Diceros bicornis minor: one gene and its partner. The protein of the gene in region 1 purifies or fractionates together with the protein of each later gene. This does not show direct contact. Links are inferred from orthologs where the notes say so. Each region holds a gene or a part of one and is shown in the gene's direction. Other genes may lie near its edges.

Evidence for each region.
Region 2: the proteins of HSPD1 (region 1) and SIRT3 purify together in Homo sapiens (affinity purification with mass spectrometry; 3 studies listed by BioGRID and IntAct, counting the BioPlex papers as one, with this or other methods). This does not show direct contact. The link is inferred for Diceros bicornis minor from reciprocal best matches to the Homo sapiens genes HSPD1 and SIRT3.

What each region holds. Positions count from the first base shown.
Region 1 is NC_080749.1:75,336,855-75,343,371, reverse strand, and holds the start of HSPD1 (60 kDa heat shock protein, mitochondrial), read left to right. Parts: upstream 1-2,480; 5' UTR 2,481-2,572; intron 2,573-3,504; 5' UTR 3,505-3,506; coding exon 3,507-3,680; intron 3,681-5,254; coding exon 5,255-5,507; intron 5,508-6,517. Other genes in the region: MOB-like protein phocein, read right to left, coding at 1,139-1,303, 1,932-1,934. UniProt on the Homo sapiens protein: Chaperonin implicated in mitochondrial protein import and macromolecular assembly. Together with Hsp10, facilitates the correct folding of imported proteins.
Region 2 is NC_080770.1:58,210-64,726, reverse strand, and holds the start of SIRT3 (NAD-dependent protein deacetylase sirtuin-3, mitochondrial), read left to right. Parts: upstream 1-2,401; coding exon 2,402-2,484; intron 2,485-6,517. Other genes in the region: PSMD13 (26S proteasome non-ATPase regulatory subunit 13), read right to left, coding at 1-23, 1,673-1,767.

The sequences.
Region 1 (6,517 bases):
AAATGTTTATATCAGTACAGTGAAACTAAATTTTAGAGACACTGGATGTCATTAGTTTGGATATCATTAGTTTATTATAAAAGAGAGACATGGAAATTATTTACAAGATGAAAGATTTCAGTACTTCAATGGAATGGGCAGCTTCACGTGATGCCATTTCAATAGTGATTCATTTCAGTCTACATACTTTCCAAGAATGTCACCATCTCTAAATAAGAAATAATCCTGCAAATAAAGAAACCATTAGTTAAGAAAACTAATACCAAATATGTAACTTCTAAAAAAAAAAAATCCATTACGTTTACACACCTTGTCGTCTAGAACTACTTTGGTGCCTCCATACTCTGGGAGAAGAACTTTATCTCCCACTTTCACACTAACTGGTTGAATCTCTCCACCCTTAAAAAAATAAGAATGTTTATTAGTAGAGACATCTAATTTACCAAATATTTACACCTAACTTTCATTAATCAAATATGCTCACTCAAATCAAATGTTAAAAAAGAACTTGGTGGCCAAGTGATATAATCTATACAATTGTAGTTCTTCACTCAAAACTTATCATTGTAGAGTCACACTTTGAAATGAGGCACACACAGTGGCTTAAACTAAAACCTGATTTCACTGTAAAAGTTCAAGGAGTTATACTGGGAAAACTAACTTAAACTAGCTTTTAAATTGTTAAATATTAACATAACCCATCGACTAAGTGAAATAAACAAGTTTTAAAAACCGTATACATAACAGTCTGTATAACTTCCTTCAATACACAAACACTTAACAGAAGTTTTCTGAATTCGGAACATACATTTTTTTTTCCATTCAATTTCCTTTGCTCCCAAGTATAGACTTGGGGAGGAGACTGAAGCAGAGTGTCCACTCTTCCAAGCCTTCCTATTCCTAACTCCAGGATTCCTTGCTAGAACTTTCTTAGAGGCATGGACAATGCAATTAACATATTTGACCCTAAGAGCATTTACTATGTATTCTGGTTGACACTTTTATAAGTCTGAAATGTAACCAATTAATTAGAAAATGACCTTGAAGATAACACAAGCTACGTAAAAGCCTATTTTTAATAATAACCAATAATTACTTTTTCCCTCCACATAATAGTTCCATTTTAGCCCCCATTTACCTTTCCTTTAGAGCCCGATCCAACAGCCACTACTGTTGCTTGCAATACTTTTCCTTGAGATTTTTCTGGAAGCATAATGCCTCCTTTGGTTACAGTTTCGGCTGCACTCCTTTCAACCAATACTCGGTCAAAGAGGGGAAGAAACTTTCTAAATGCCTGTCCTGCCTGTAGAGAAAGAAATGTCGGATAACACAAAAACAACATGTAATTATATTCTAAACAGGCAACACCACTGTAAGCCTTCTGTATCACAGGCCACGTGTGGCTTTCAAAGATCATGCCCAAACTCAGATTATTTACCCAGGAAACCCACTTGAAGGTTCTGCTCTGTAGCCCGAGTTTAATTTCCCATTCCCCATGTGTGTTAGGGGTCCTTGCTGCTCCTCTGGTCAGCAGCCAGACCACCTTTAAGGGCAACCTTAGTTTATTCCAAGGTCAAATACTATCCTTCCTCAGGTTTTTCTGGGAATTTTCAGCAAACACTGCAGTCAATCCCTACGCCCGGGGCCATGCTTTCTCCGACATATTACACACCCCCCAGCGCCCTGCAACAGCCGCAGGCCGGCCGCCGCGCGGTTCGGGGTTCCCGGCCCACAGGCCTGCAGCACGCGCGCGCGCAAAGAGCCCTCGGCGCGGGGAAGGGGCGGAGGGGCCTCGCCTCTCCAGGGTCCCGGCGGGCGCCGCTCACTGGGTGACCCCCACCCCTCCGGCTAGGCCCAAGAGAACCGTCCGGACTCCCGGTGCGCCTCAGGCCGACCCGGGACCGCCACCCCCCCGCTCACGGCGGCCTCACCATGACTCCGGCCGCCGCAACCCACACTCCGCTCTAGCGCCGCCGTCGCAAGCAGAGACCCGTAGTCCGACCCTCGAGACACGTGAACTTGGGACAAGGCACCCGGCGCGCAGGCGCGCTCGCCCCCGGCCCCCGCCCCTCCCCGCGCGAGGGGGCGGCCGCAGCAGCGCGCGCCGCGATTCGCCGCGAGGGCCCTGCGCAGGCCCCTGACGCCGGGAGGCGGAAGGAAAGAGGAGCCCTTTCTAGGCTTTTCTAGGCCCCCGCCGAGGTGAAAGTACTAGCCCTCCGCCCTCCTCCCGGATGTGACGCGGTTTAACCCTTAACCCGCAGGGAGCGCGGCGCCCCCAGAAAGTTCTGGAACCCAGCGCAGCCCGGGAACCAGCATACGCCGGCCGGAGAGGGCCGAGTCCGCGGGCCTGGCCCGGCGCTGGTAGGGAGGGGCGGGCTGGCCCGCGGCGCATGCAGATTGCCGGGCCTGCCGCCGGCGAGGGCGGGAGCCGCCTGCGCGCGCGGCGCGGCGGGGCGGGGGAGTGGCGGAGGGAGGGGACACGGGCTCATTGCCGTGTGCGCCCTGCACTCTGTCCCTCACTCGCCGCCGACGGCCTGCCTCGCCTTCCGCACGCCGCGCCGCCGCCCCGCAGGTACGCGGCCGCTCCGCGCCGCCGCGCCCAGGGCCTCGGACCCCCGAGCCGGCCTCCCCCCGCTGCAGTCCTGCCTGAAGTGGGCGGCGGGGGAGAGCCAGGGCCTCCTCCGGCGCCGCAGGCCCGGGCCCCTTGGCCAGGCCTGGCGGGTCCATGCGCGAGCCCATCACGTGCCGCGTGGAGCCCTCGCCCGGGCAGGGCGCAGGAGGGAGGGCTTGCCCGGGAGTGCGTGTGGAATCGGGGGAGTGCTCTCGTGGGCCCTCCCATGCAACCCACTCCTGGACTGCAGGACCCCGGGGAGGGTGGTCTCACCCGCGTGGGAACCGCGTTTGGCCCCGCGGACCGCTGGGGTACGGCACTTCGACCCTGACCTTGCTCGGGGCGTCCTGATGGAAAGACACTTGGGGTCGCGCCGAGTGGGCCAGGCCGCAGCCCCCTGCATCGCGGCCTTGCGGGCTGCTCTGATACAGTAGCCCCGAGAGGATACATGAAGGCACATTTCACTAAGCGGAATTTTACGCCGTCAGGCATATTTGTACTCTCCTGGTCCCTCGGGTTTATAACCTGCCCGTCTGCTGCAGGCTTGGTTTTTTTAGGGGCGCGTGTGGAGTGGCTTTGCTCTGAAGGCCGTTTTAGCAGTGAAAGATTAACTCCTTTTCAGCGGCAGGGGTAGGTGGCCATGGGGACGAAGAGGGGCCTGCTTTGTGCTAGTGCTCTAGGTCAGGCGTGGAGGCGGCCTCTTCAGGCTCGTCCTGGTACCTGGTGTTCTGCAGCTGTGGCGCTTTCCGTGGCCCGGGTGTAGTGGCTGGCAGAGGTCAGACCAGCTCACGTCTAACACTTTTTATTCTGTTGCACAGGTGTCATTTTTGTGCTGTAACGCACCACTGGGAGTGCCACTATTGTACTGATGGTCTGCTTTTTTTCCCACCCAGAAATGCTTCGATTACCTGCAGTCCTTCGCCAGATTAGGCCAGTGTCCAAATCACTGGCTCCTCATCTCACTCGGGCTTATGCCAAAGATGTAAAATTTGGTGCAGATGCCCGAGCCTTAATGCTTCAGGGTGTAGACCTTTTAGCCGATGCTGTAGCCGTTACTATGGGGCCAAAGGTAACTGTTGTTATTTTGTTATACTTTATAATATTGTTAATTAAGGAATAATATTTTACTGATGAGAAGTCACACTGAACTGTTGAACAGTATTTTAGTATCCGTTTTTGAGAAAAACCAGTTTACATATGTGAGTTCTAAATTATTGGTTAATTTTTTTGTCTTTTTTTGCTTAGATATAATGGTCTTAAACTGCTCCTGCCAAATTTTCGAAACTTTCTTTTTTACAATGTGTGATGTAATCGAGTGGTAACTAACTCATAGCTCAAGGTGGATTCTTAAACTCAGTGTAGAATTAATCTTGCTTGCCTGCTTGAGTTAAATTTTGGATTCTTTCCCAGTAGTTAATACCAAGCATAGAAGGAAGACTATAAGTACGTCCCATAATACCTCAAGTATGTGCTTTTAGGTGCTAGTTTTACCTAGTGTTTTTCTCTTGTCCGTTCTGTTCTAAAGCACATTTAAAATTCTAAGTCTTATTTAACGTTAAGAGATTGGTGAGCGAGGGGTGATAATTTGAGGAGGCTTTTGAAGGTGGTGCACAGTTGAAGACCGTTCAAATATCAAAGTAATCCAAACTGTATAGATTACAGCATTTGCATGCCTCACAGGTAGCAGCTGTGGTTCAAATCCAAAAGCTGCCAATACTGTTTGCACCATGTTTGAGATTTAATGTTGAACGATCCTGGAAGAGTGCACTATACTTACCTTGCTGTTAATAGTTTATCTTTTTTTTTTTTCCTTTATTTTTTTCCCCCCAAAACCCCAGTAGATAGTTGTATGTCATAGCTGCACATTCTTCTAGTTGCTGTATGTGGGACACGGCCTCAGCATGGCCGGAGAAGCGGTGCATCGGTGCGCGCCCAGGATCCCAACCCGGGCCGCCAGCAGTGGAGCACACGCACTTAACCGCTAAGCCACGGGGCCGGCCCGCTGTTAGTAATTTAGTAACTAAACTTTAGACTTTAAAAGTAAGTTTTCACAATACTTTCAAAGATGGCAGGCACAGGACAAAATTTAAGTATAAATGATGTGAAGAATATTCTGGAATTTAATTATAATCTACCAGATTGGTATTGGTTTATCTCATGTTCTTGTTGTTTTCTAAGAGGACACCTTTTAGTCTCTAGGATTTTTATCCCCCATAATACCTTATTCAAAGTTATGCAATTGGCAACAGAGAGGTAATTTTGCTTGTAAGAACATTGATGAATTTGCCCTTGAGATTCATGCTGCTGATTTGATAAGATGACAACTTGCATTGAGGCTTTTGAGTGATTGCCCCATTACAGTCACGTGCCATTTAACAACTGGGATATGTTATGAGAAATTGTTGGGCGATTTTGTCATTCTGCGAACATCATAGAGTTCTTAACACAAACTTAGGTAGTATAGCCTACTACACACCCAGGCTGTGTGAAACTAATCTTATGGGACCAGTGTCATATATGCAGTCCGTTGTTGACCGAAACGTCGTTATATGGCATGTGGCTATAAAAACTGCTCGTTCTGTTTTAAGTTAAGTAGTACTTAGAGTGCGAGTCTGTTCCATTTTTTTTCCTCTGCAATTATAGGGAAGAACAGTGATTATTGAACAGAGTTGGGGAAGTCCCAAAGTAACCAAAGATGGTGTGACCGTTGCAAAGTCCATTGACTTAAAAGATAAATATAAAAATATTGGCGCTAAACTTGTTCAAGATGTGGCCAATAACACAAATGAAGAGGCTGGGGATGGCACCACTACTGCTACTGTTCTGGCACGCTCTATTGCCAAGGAAGGCTTCGAGAAGATTAGCAAAGGTGCTAATCCAGTGGAAATCAGGAGAGGTAGGAATGTCTCCTCATTGTCACCACAGTGTTTTGAACTATTAAGTTATACTAGAAAATTGATTCTTATTTCTTCTCTCTCCTAAAAAATCTTAGCCTGGGTTTTTCTTCAGCAAATAGTGATTGAATGCTTGGCTTTGTGCTTTGGGCACTGTGGTTGCTGTTAAGGAGGGAAGTGTGACTAAGACATACCCTGTCTTCTGTCCATCCCGTGTGTCCCCTCCTCTGAAAGCCAACAGTTTATTGGAAGATACACATGTACTATGTACCTTGAAAATAGTAAACTTGTGGGGATTAGAGCAGAGAGGGGTTATACACCTTTGATGTTTTACTTTATTTAGAAAGTAGGGGCTGAACAGGAAACTAAGTCACCCAGGATGTCAGAAAGTTTTTTGTTCTTTTTAGCAGCTTTTTCTTACCTCTTAACAGTACATACTGTGTTATTAATCTGCATTTTATTATTGCTTGTTTTGGTGAGCTACAGACCACAATTTAAAGATCTCAACGTGAGGTTCATGTTGATATAGACTCATCTTGTCATTGTCATTTATTAGCTGTGTACTAAAACTTGGTTTTCCTATCTTGAATATGGAATTAACTGTATATTTCTTGGGTATGTTATCTCCCAAACTAGGAGACTTGAGAGTAAAGGGGGTGCTATTAATAATTTTGTCAGAATTGGCATTCCAGGGCATAGTGGCATAGCATCATCCCATCCATTTCAATGTTTGAGGTCCAAATGAATGTGTTCCGTTAAAAGGGAGTTAGACTGTAAATCACTAACAAATATTAACTGAGATTGTTAAGATTACTTCCCAAAGAAAGTCATTGTTACTCCACACCTTGTTTTGGATTTTTTCTTGAAGTAACATTTCTAAAAATAAAGAAGAGCAGAGCTAGCTCTAGCCCCAGTTGAACAAAATGGGGTTCTCCTAAATCCACGTTGGGGTGCTGTTGGCTGTCGAAACAAAAATATTTTGTTAGTTCATAATTACATATTAAATGAGGAA
Region 2 (6,517 bases), on another chromosome or scaffold:
GAAGTGTCAGCTGATGCCACAACCTGAAAAACATAAGGCCCTTGAGACCTATAAACTAATATCCAGTCACAGATACCGTCAGCTGTGATAGATCTATCAGATAACAAATACTAACCAGTCTCTATGGTGTAACAGGAAGAATGCAAAGGCAGATGCTCATAAACCTGAGTTCTTTTCCTGGCTCTACTACTCAATGGTTATGTCACCTTGAGATCACTTAACCTCTCTAAGACTCAGTTTTCTCAGCTATAAATGGAGAACATCTTGCTAAACTACCTCAAGAGGTTACTGTTAAGTTTGATCACACATCTTTAAGTTGAAATCCTGCTCTTCTACTTATTAGCTGAGTATCTCCGGGAAGAAGCCTAAACTGAGCTTCAGTTTCCTCATCTGTGAAACGGATGAAGGCTTAAATGAGCTAGTACATAAATCCTCTACAACACTGACATGGCACATTTGAAACCAAAGGCTAATTTTTTTTGTGTGTGTGTGAGGAAGATCAGCCCTGAGCTAACACCTATTGCCAATCCTCCTCCTTTTTTTTTCTCTCCCCAAAGCCCCAGTAGCTAGTTGTATGTCATAGTTGCACATCCTTCTAGTTGCTGTATGTGGGACGCGGCCTCAGCATGGCCGGAGAAGCGGTGCGTCCGTGCGCACCCGGGGTCCGAACCGGGGCCACCAGTAGCGGTGCGCGCGCACTTAACCGCTAAGCCACAGGGTCGGCCCCCAAAGGCTAATTTTTAAGAACGCAAATAAAATGCCCTGAAAAATACAAAGTGCTATCCAACACAAACAACTATTTCCCAAACACTAAGAATTTTCTCTCAAAAACTGCTAACAGCAGGATGCTGAACATGATCAAAACATGTATTGAATATCTACATGAAAGACACTATGCCTAACGCTAGGGTTGTTAACACGGAGGTTTTTACAAGAGGTGTATTTTCCTATAGAACATCGCTAGCACAATGCCAACAATTTATTCTACTCACTTAAAAAGAGACTGGTGCTTAGCAACAGACAAGTTAATCGTTTTGCAATTTATCCTGTTTCTAAACAAACTCAAACTCTGAGGTGTCTCCAGAGGCACGAAGCCCAATAAGAAACGCAACGGAACGTAAGGACCATGGGAGAGGGGAATGTGGCTGCACCTGAGCTGTAACCAGCTGCAGAATCAACAGAGAAAGGAACAAAACTGCACTGGCCCCTGGTCCATCCACTCCAGGCCGCTGAGAAAGATGACTGTAGACACGGTCACGCTATGACAAGGCTAAGTACAAGACACCAGCATCTGTTATCCAAACGGGTAGCAGCCTGACCCCGAAAGGGCGTATGCTTGTTTGACCGGAGTCAAGAGCTAAATGCACAGGCCAGCCTTGAGCACTATTCTAAAACCAGAGGAGAGCTCAGAAGGCTCAGCTACAGTCCCTCGGGCAGGAAGGGAGTGAATCCTACACCCCAAAACCCTGCCGACGGCTCCGCTCCTCAGTCCTCACGGGCTGTCACCCCTCCTCCCCCTCGGCCCTGCACCTCCGGGGTCCTCAGCTACCGCCCGGCCTCGCCTGTCCTCACGCTGCCCACACGGGTCCGAGACCCTCAGTGCGTCAGGTCTCGCCCCTCCGCCTCGCCCTCCTCTCCCCGGGGGCCCGGGTCCCCTCAGCCCGGCGCTCACTTCTTCGTGTAGAGCTCCTCCAGACGGTGCCACACGGCGGCCTGGCCGGGACCAGAGCTCTGGCTCTGCTGTAAGAAGCCGGGCACGTCCTTCATCACGGCAGGAAGACCCCGGGATCGCGGGAAACGAAGATATCGCCGCAGAGGGGATGGCCGCCGGAAGTGCTCACTCACTTCCGGCGCCGCGTCTCGCGGGGCAGGCCGGGAGCGCCGAGCGCGGCCTCCCGCGCCCGTCGGTTGTCAGGGTAACCGCGCGTCTGCGCTGTGGATGAAATTCTCTCCTCGGGTCGTCCCCGGCTAGCCCCGCGGCTGCCTTTGCCTTTGAGGCGGGGCACAGAACAGGCGCCTGGGGTCCACCGGGCATCGACTGGCTCTGTGGCCTTTGTGACCCGCGTTTCTCAAGCTCAAGTGGGATGATACAACTAGTACCTTCCTCGTAGTGTCTTGCGAGGACCGAGTGTAAATGTAATGCCTGACCATATTGAGCGCTTACACAGTGTCAGTTGTCATCACGATCACCATCCCGACTGAAAAAGGCGGGAATGCAGGATAGAGAAGTTCAGGGTCCTGGTTTGGTCTTGGGACGAGAGGCGGCATCTCAACAGACTAGGGAGCTAACCTACACCGGGCGCGCGGGGCGGGGCGAGGGCAAGCATGGTGGGGGCGGGGCGAGCGCGCGGATGGGCACGTGACCCTCGGGGACGCTCACGCCAGCGGGCTGCGGAGGAACATGGCGCTGTATGCTCGGCCTGTGCTTCCCGCCCTCAGGCTCCTGGGCCCAGGCGGTGAGCGGGCTTGGGCCCGCAAGCCTCGGTTCGTCCCGGTGGCCGCCGCGGGGCGGGCGGGTCCAGCGCGAGACGCGGAGCTGGAGCGCCGTGCCGGCGGTGTCCGCAGCCCCGAGGCGCGGCTCGGATGGCGGGTCATTCCTCCTCACGGCGCTTTGGGCGCCTGCGAGCAGCGCTCGCGCGTTGGGGCCTGCTACCCCACCCCTGTTAGTCGGATTGTATTCGGTGCTTTGGCTTTTTATGTAACAGTTTGTCTTGGAGTGGCTTCCCTTGAAAGCGTGAAAGCTTTCTCAGTCTTTTATACTGATCTGGGGAATTCCATTATATTGATGTTTCGTAAATTAACCGTTGTCTTAGCGAAGTCGTTTCTAATGTTTAGTTGGTACAAGTAATGCTGTGGTGAATCACCTTGTTTGTACCCCACCTTTTGGATAAATTTCTAGTAGTGGAACTTCTGGGTCTAAAGGTATATACGTTTTTATTGTCCCCACCAGCATATGTTGATCACTCTTCTACACAGTAATTGCAGATTTTGGAATTCTTGCCTCGGAACTGGGCCTACAGACGGAAAAATCTTCAGGCCCCTGGTTGTTAATCATAGTTGTTGGGAAGCTAACTTAAATGCCCAATAATGGACGAATGTTTAAGTAACTAACGGTACATGCACTTGATGCCATCCCACACAGCTACTAAAAGACTGGTGAAGAGTTTAATGCAGAGATAGCAAGGAGTCTTCGGTTCATCCAGGAAACCTTTATTGAACTCTTCTTCGGTACCAGAGTCTGTTCCAGGTGCTGAGGATGGTGCAGGGACCTGAAAAACGCTTCTTTCCGTGGAGCGCATTCCAGTCTCAGAATCTCAGGCAGTTGTGTGCGTGGGACATGGCTGAATAGTGACCTGGTCTACGGGCTGCTGCTCAGGGGACTGCTGACTGTCATTAAACAAATCTTTGCTACCACTGCCCCCGAACAGGAGGTTGTTTGCACAGGCTTTCTGCAGTTTGGGAGTTCTGCCCTTTTGAGTTTTGATTTTGGGGTTCTTGTATGAAATCATCCTGTTTCCCTTTCCCAGGCAGCACCCATGCTTGCTCCTCAGGGTCCTCCCACTCTCAGTAAGTCTCGTTCCATGTAGCATATACTTGAAGTCACACACCTTAAGTATATTCTAGACATTTGGTAAAAACCTGTCCATGCATTTTTTAGTGGCAAATGTTTTACTTATGTAGGTGAAACATATATATCAAGTACCCTGGGTAATACTTTGCACTCAGTACGTGCTCAACAATGGCAATAACTTCTACAATACGTGCTTTTTTTAACACCACCAAGCAGTTCTCCAGTTTTCTGTGGACACTGACAAGGTGTCCCACAGATTTAACTCAATTCTGAGACTATTGACCTGGAGATAGCACCAGCTCCCACAGTCCCACAAGGGTCCGGTCCCACAAGACTGCTATTTCAGATGCAAATCCAGGTTGCCACCTGTGCTTCTGACCAACTGGCTATAAATGAGGAGGTTCCCATGACCCCTGTGGTTGGATGAATTTGCTAGAGCGGCTCACAGAACTCAGGAAACCAGTTTGCTTACTAGATTACCAGTTTATTACAAAGAATATTAAAGGATGTGAATGAACAGCCAGATGAAGAGATACTTAGGGTGAGGTCTGGAAGGATCCCAAATACAGGAGCTTCTGTCCCCTTGGAGTTCGGGCCCCTGGGGCCCAGCACGTGGAAGTGTTCTGGTTCACCAACCTGGAAGCTCTCTGAATCCCCTCCTTTTGGGTTTTTATGGAGGTGCCAACCCTCTAATCACACTTTATTCCCCTGGCAACCAGCCCTCATCCTTAGGGGGTTTCCACAAGTCACCTCATTGACATAAACTCAGTTGTGGTGGAAAGGGGGTTGTTATGCTTTTTTTTTGGGAAGATTGGCCCTGCGCTAACATCTGTTGCCAGTCTTCCTCTTGTTTTTTCTCCCCAAAGCCCCACTAGATAGTTGTACATCGTAGTTGTACATCCTTCTAGTTGCTCTATGTGGGACGCTGCCTCCGCATGGCTTGATGAGCGATGAGTAGGTCCATGCCCAGGATCTGAGCCAGTGGACCCCAGGCCACTGAAGTGGAATGTGTGAACTTAACCGCTATGCCATTGGGCCAACCCCAAAACGGGCTTGTTATGAATAACAAGACACCCATGTCACCTTCATGGCTCTGAAGCGATTTCAGGAACTGAGGATCTAAGACCAAATATTATAACAAAAGATGTTCCCATTGCCCTTAGGAAATTACAAGGGTTTGGGGACGAAAACCAAAATATAAATTTATTATAAATCACAATATCACAACTTCCTTCCTATTTCTTTTGTATTTTTCATAGTAATTGCATTTAGGAGGAGCTCAGTAAATGTTTGGGTGAGGACCTTAGGTGAACAGATGTTCCTAATGCTGAGTGAAGTGGGGCATTTAATAGCTATACTTGGAGCCAGAGCATTCTCTTCCCCTCCTGAGCATCTGACCAGTTTTCACTAGGAAACCCCCTTTGGTGATTTCATCGACTTGCACTCAGAAGAGCTGCCTTGATGGGTGCTTTTATGCAAGTCTTTGGTGCAGCAGAACTTTCTTCAGAATCTGTGGGCATCTCTGCAGTAGCATGGGGAGGAGGGGGGACATCTTCCCTGCTGTGTGTATTTCCTGTACTTCTTGCTGAGAGGTTTCCAGCTGTAGATCTTTTCAAGCAAGACTGTGAGAGTCATTGCTCGCTCCCTTGCTTTTGGCTTTGGCAGCTGAGGCTCAGGGTGTGTGAGTGACTTGAGACAGGCAGTGAGCTAGGGCTCTGACTCCTTGTGGAGCCCTCAGCCTTGCACATATGCCTTCCTTTGTCACTTTCCTCTTTCCTCTTTTTTATTTGTTTTGTGAGGAAGATCAGCCCTGAGCTAACATCCATGCCAATCCTCCTCTTTTTGCTGAGGAAGACCGGCCCTGAGCTAACATCTATTGCCAGTCCTCCTCCTTTTTTTCCCTTTTTCTCCCCAAAGCCCCAGTAGATAGTTGTATGTCATAGTTGCACATCCTTCTAGTTGCTGTATGTGGGACACCGCCTCAGCATGGCCAGAAAAGCGGTGCGTCGGTGCGCGCCCGGGATCCAAACACCCGGCCACCAGTAGCGGAGCCTGTGCACTTAACTGCTAAGCCACGGGGCCAGCCCTACGTTCCTCTTTCTCATTACGTATCTTCCAGAGGTCTGTTTTTTGGAAAACCAAGACGATGCTTTGTGTGGCAGGAGAGGTGACAACACAGGAGCATGCAAGTGGACTGTGAGTGGCAAGCAAGTCCCTAGGTTGCATCATTGCTGACCCCAGAATGGAGTGTGAGAGGAAGTGGGGCAGGGGTGACAGGCACCCTAAAAGGAGCCAGTACTGTCACCTTTCAGAAGAGGGCAAAATGACTTTTCACTGGGGTTCGGCAGTGGCTTCATGAAGGAGGTGGCATTTGATCCTGGCCTTGACTCCAGGAGATTTGGACATGCTGACGTGGAGACAGGTTTTTCAGGCAGAGGGAGCTGGGTTTGGGACATATACAAGAACCAGGGTGTCCTTTTGTTTGGCTGAAAGGAGGGATATATGAGAGGGAGTAGTGGGGGTTGAAACTGACTGGGGTGGGATATGTTGGGGTCCTGTGAGAGCAGAGAGTTTCAGGGAAACCCTCAGCAGCAGTGTGTAAAGTAGATCCGTCTGTGCAGAGATTTTGCAGTGCTGGTTTTGTAAGGAGCAAAAGAAAAACCCAAAGACAGCAAACAGGAGAGTGAGTTAGGTCACACTCCTAGAAGACAAGTTCTGAGTTATTCTTGCATGTGTCTAAGGATGTGCTTTTAGGTGCCTATGACTGAAAGAAACACTCTTGGTTTCCTGTTTTTATGTCTGTATTTACCTTAGATTCATCATTCATTTGGGGAGGGTTGTCAGTTCAATTTGTTGAATCTCTTTTCCCGTCAGGGTGGAGGGGTCTCTATACCGACGTCAGAGATGTCCTGGGGGAGGGTCATCAAGGACCTTCTCCTGGAAGAA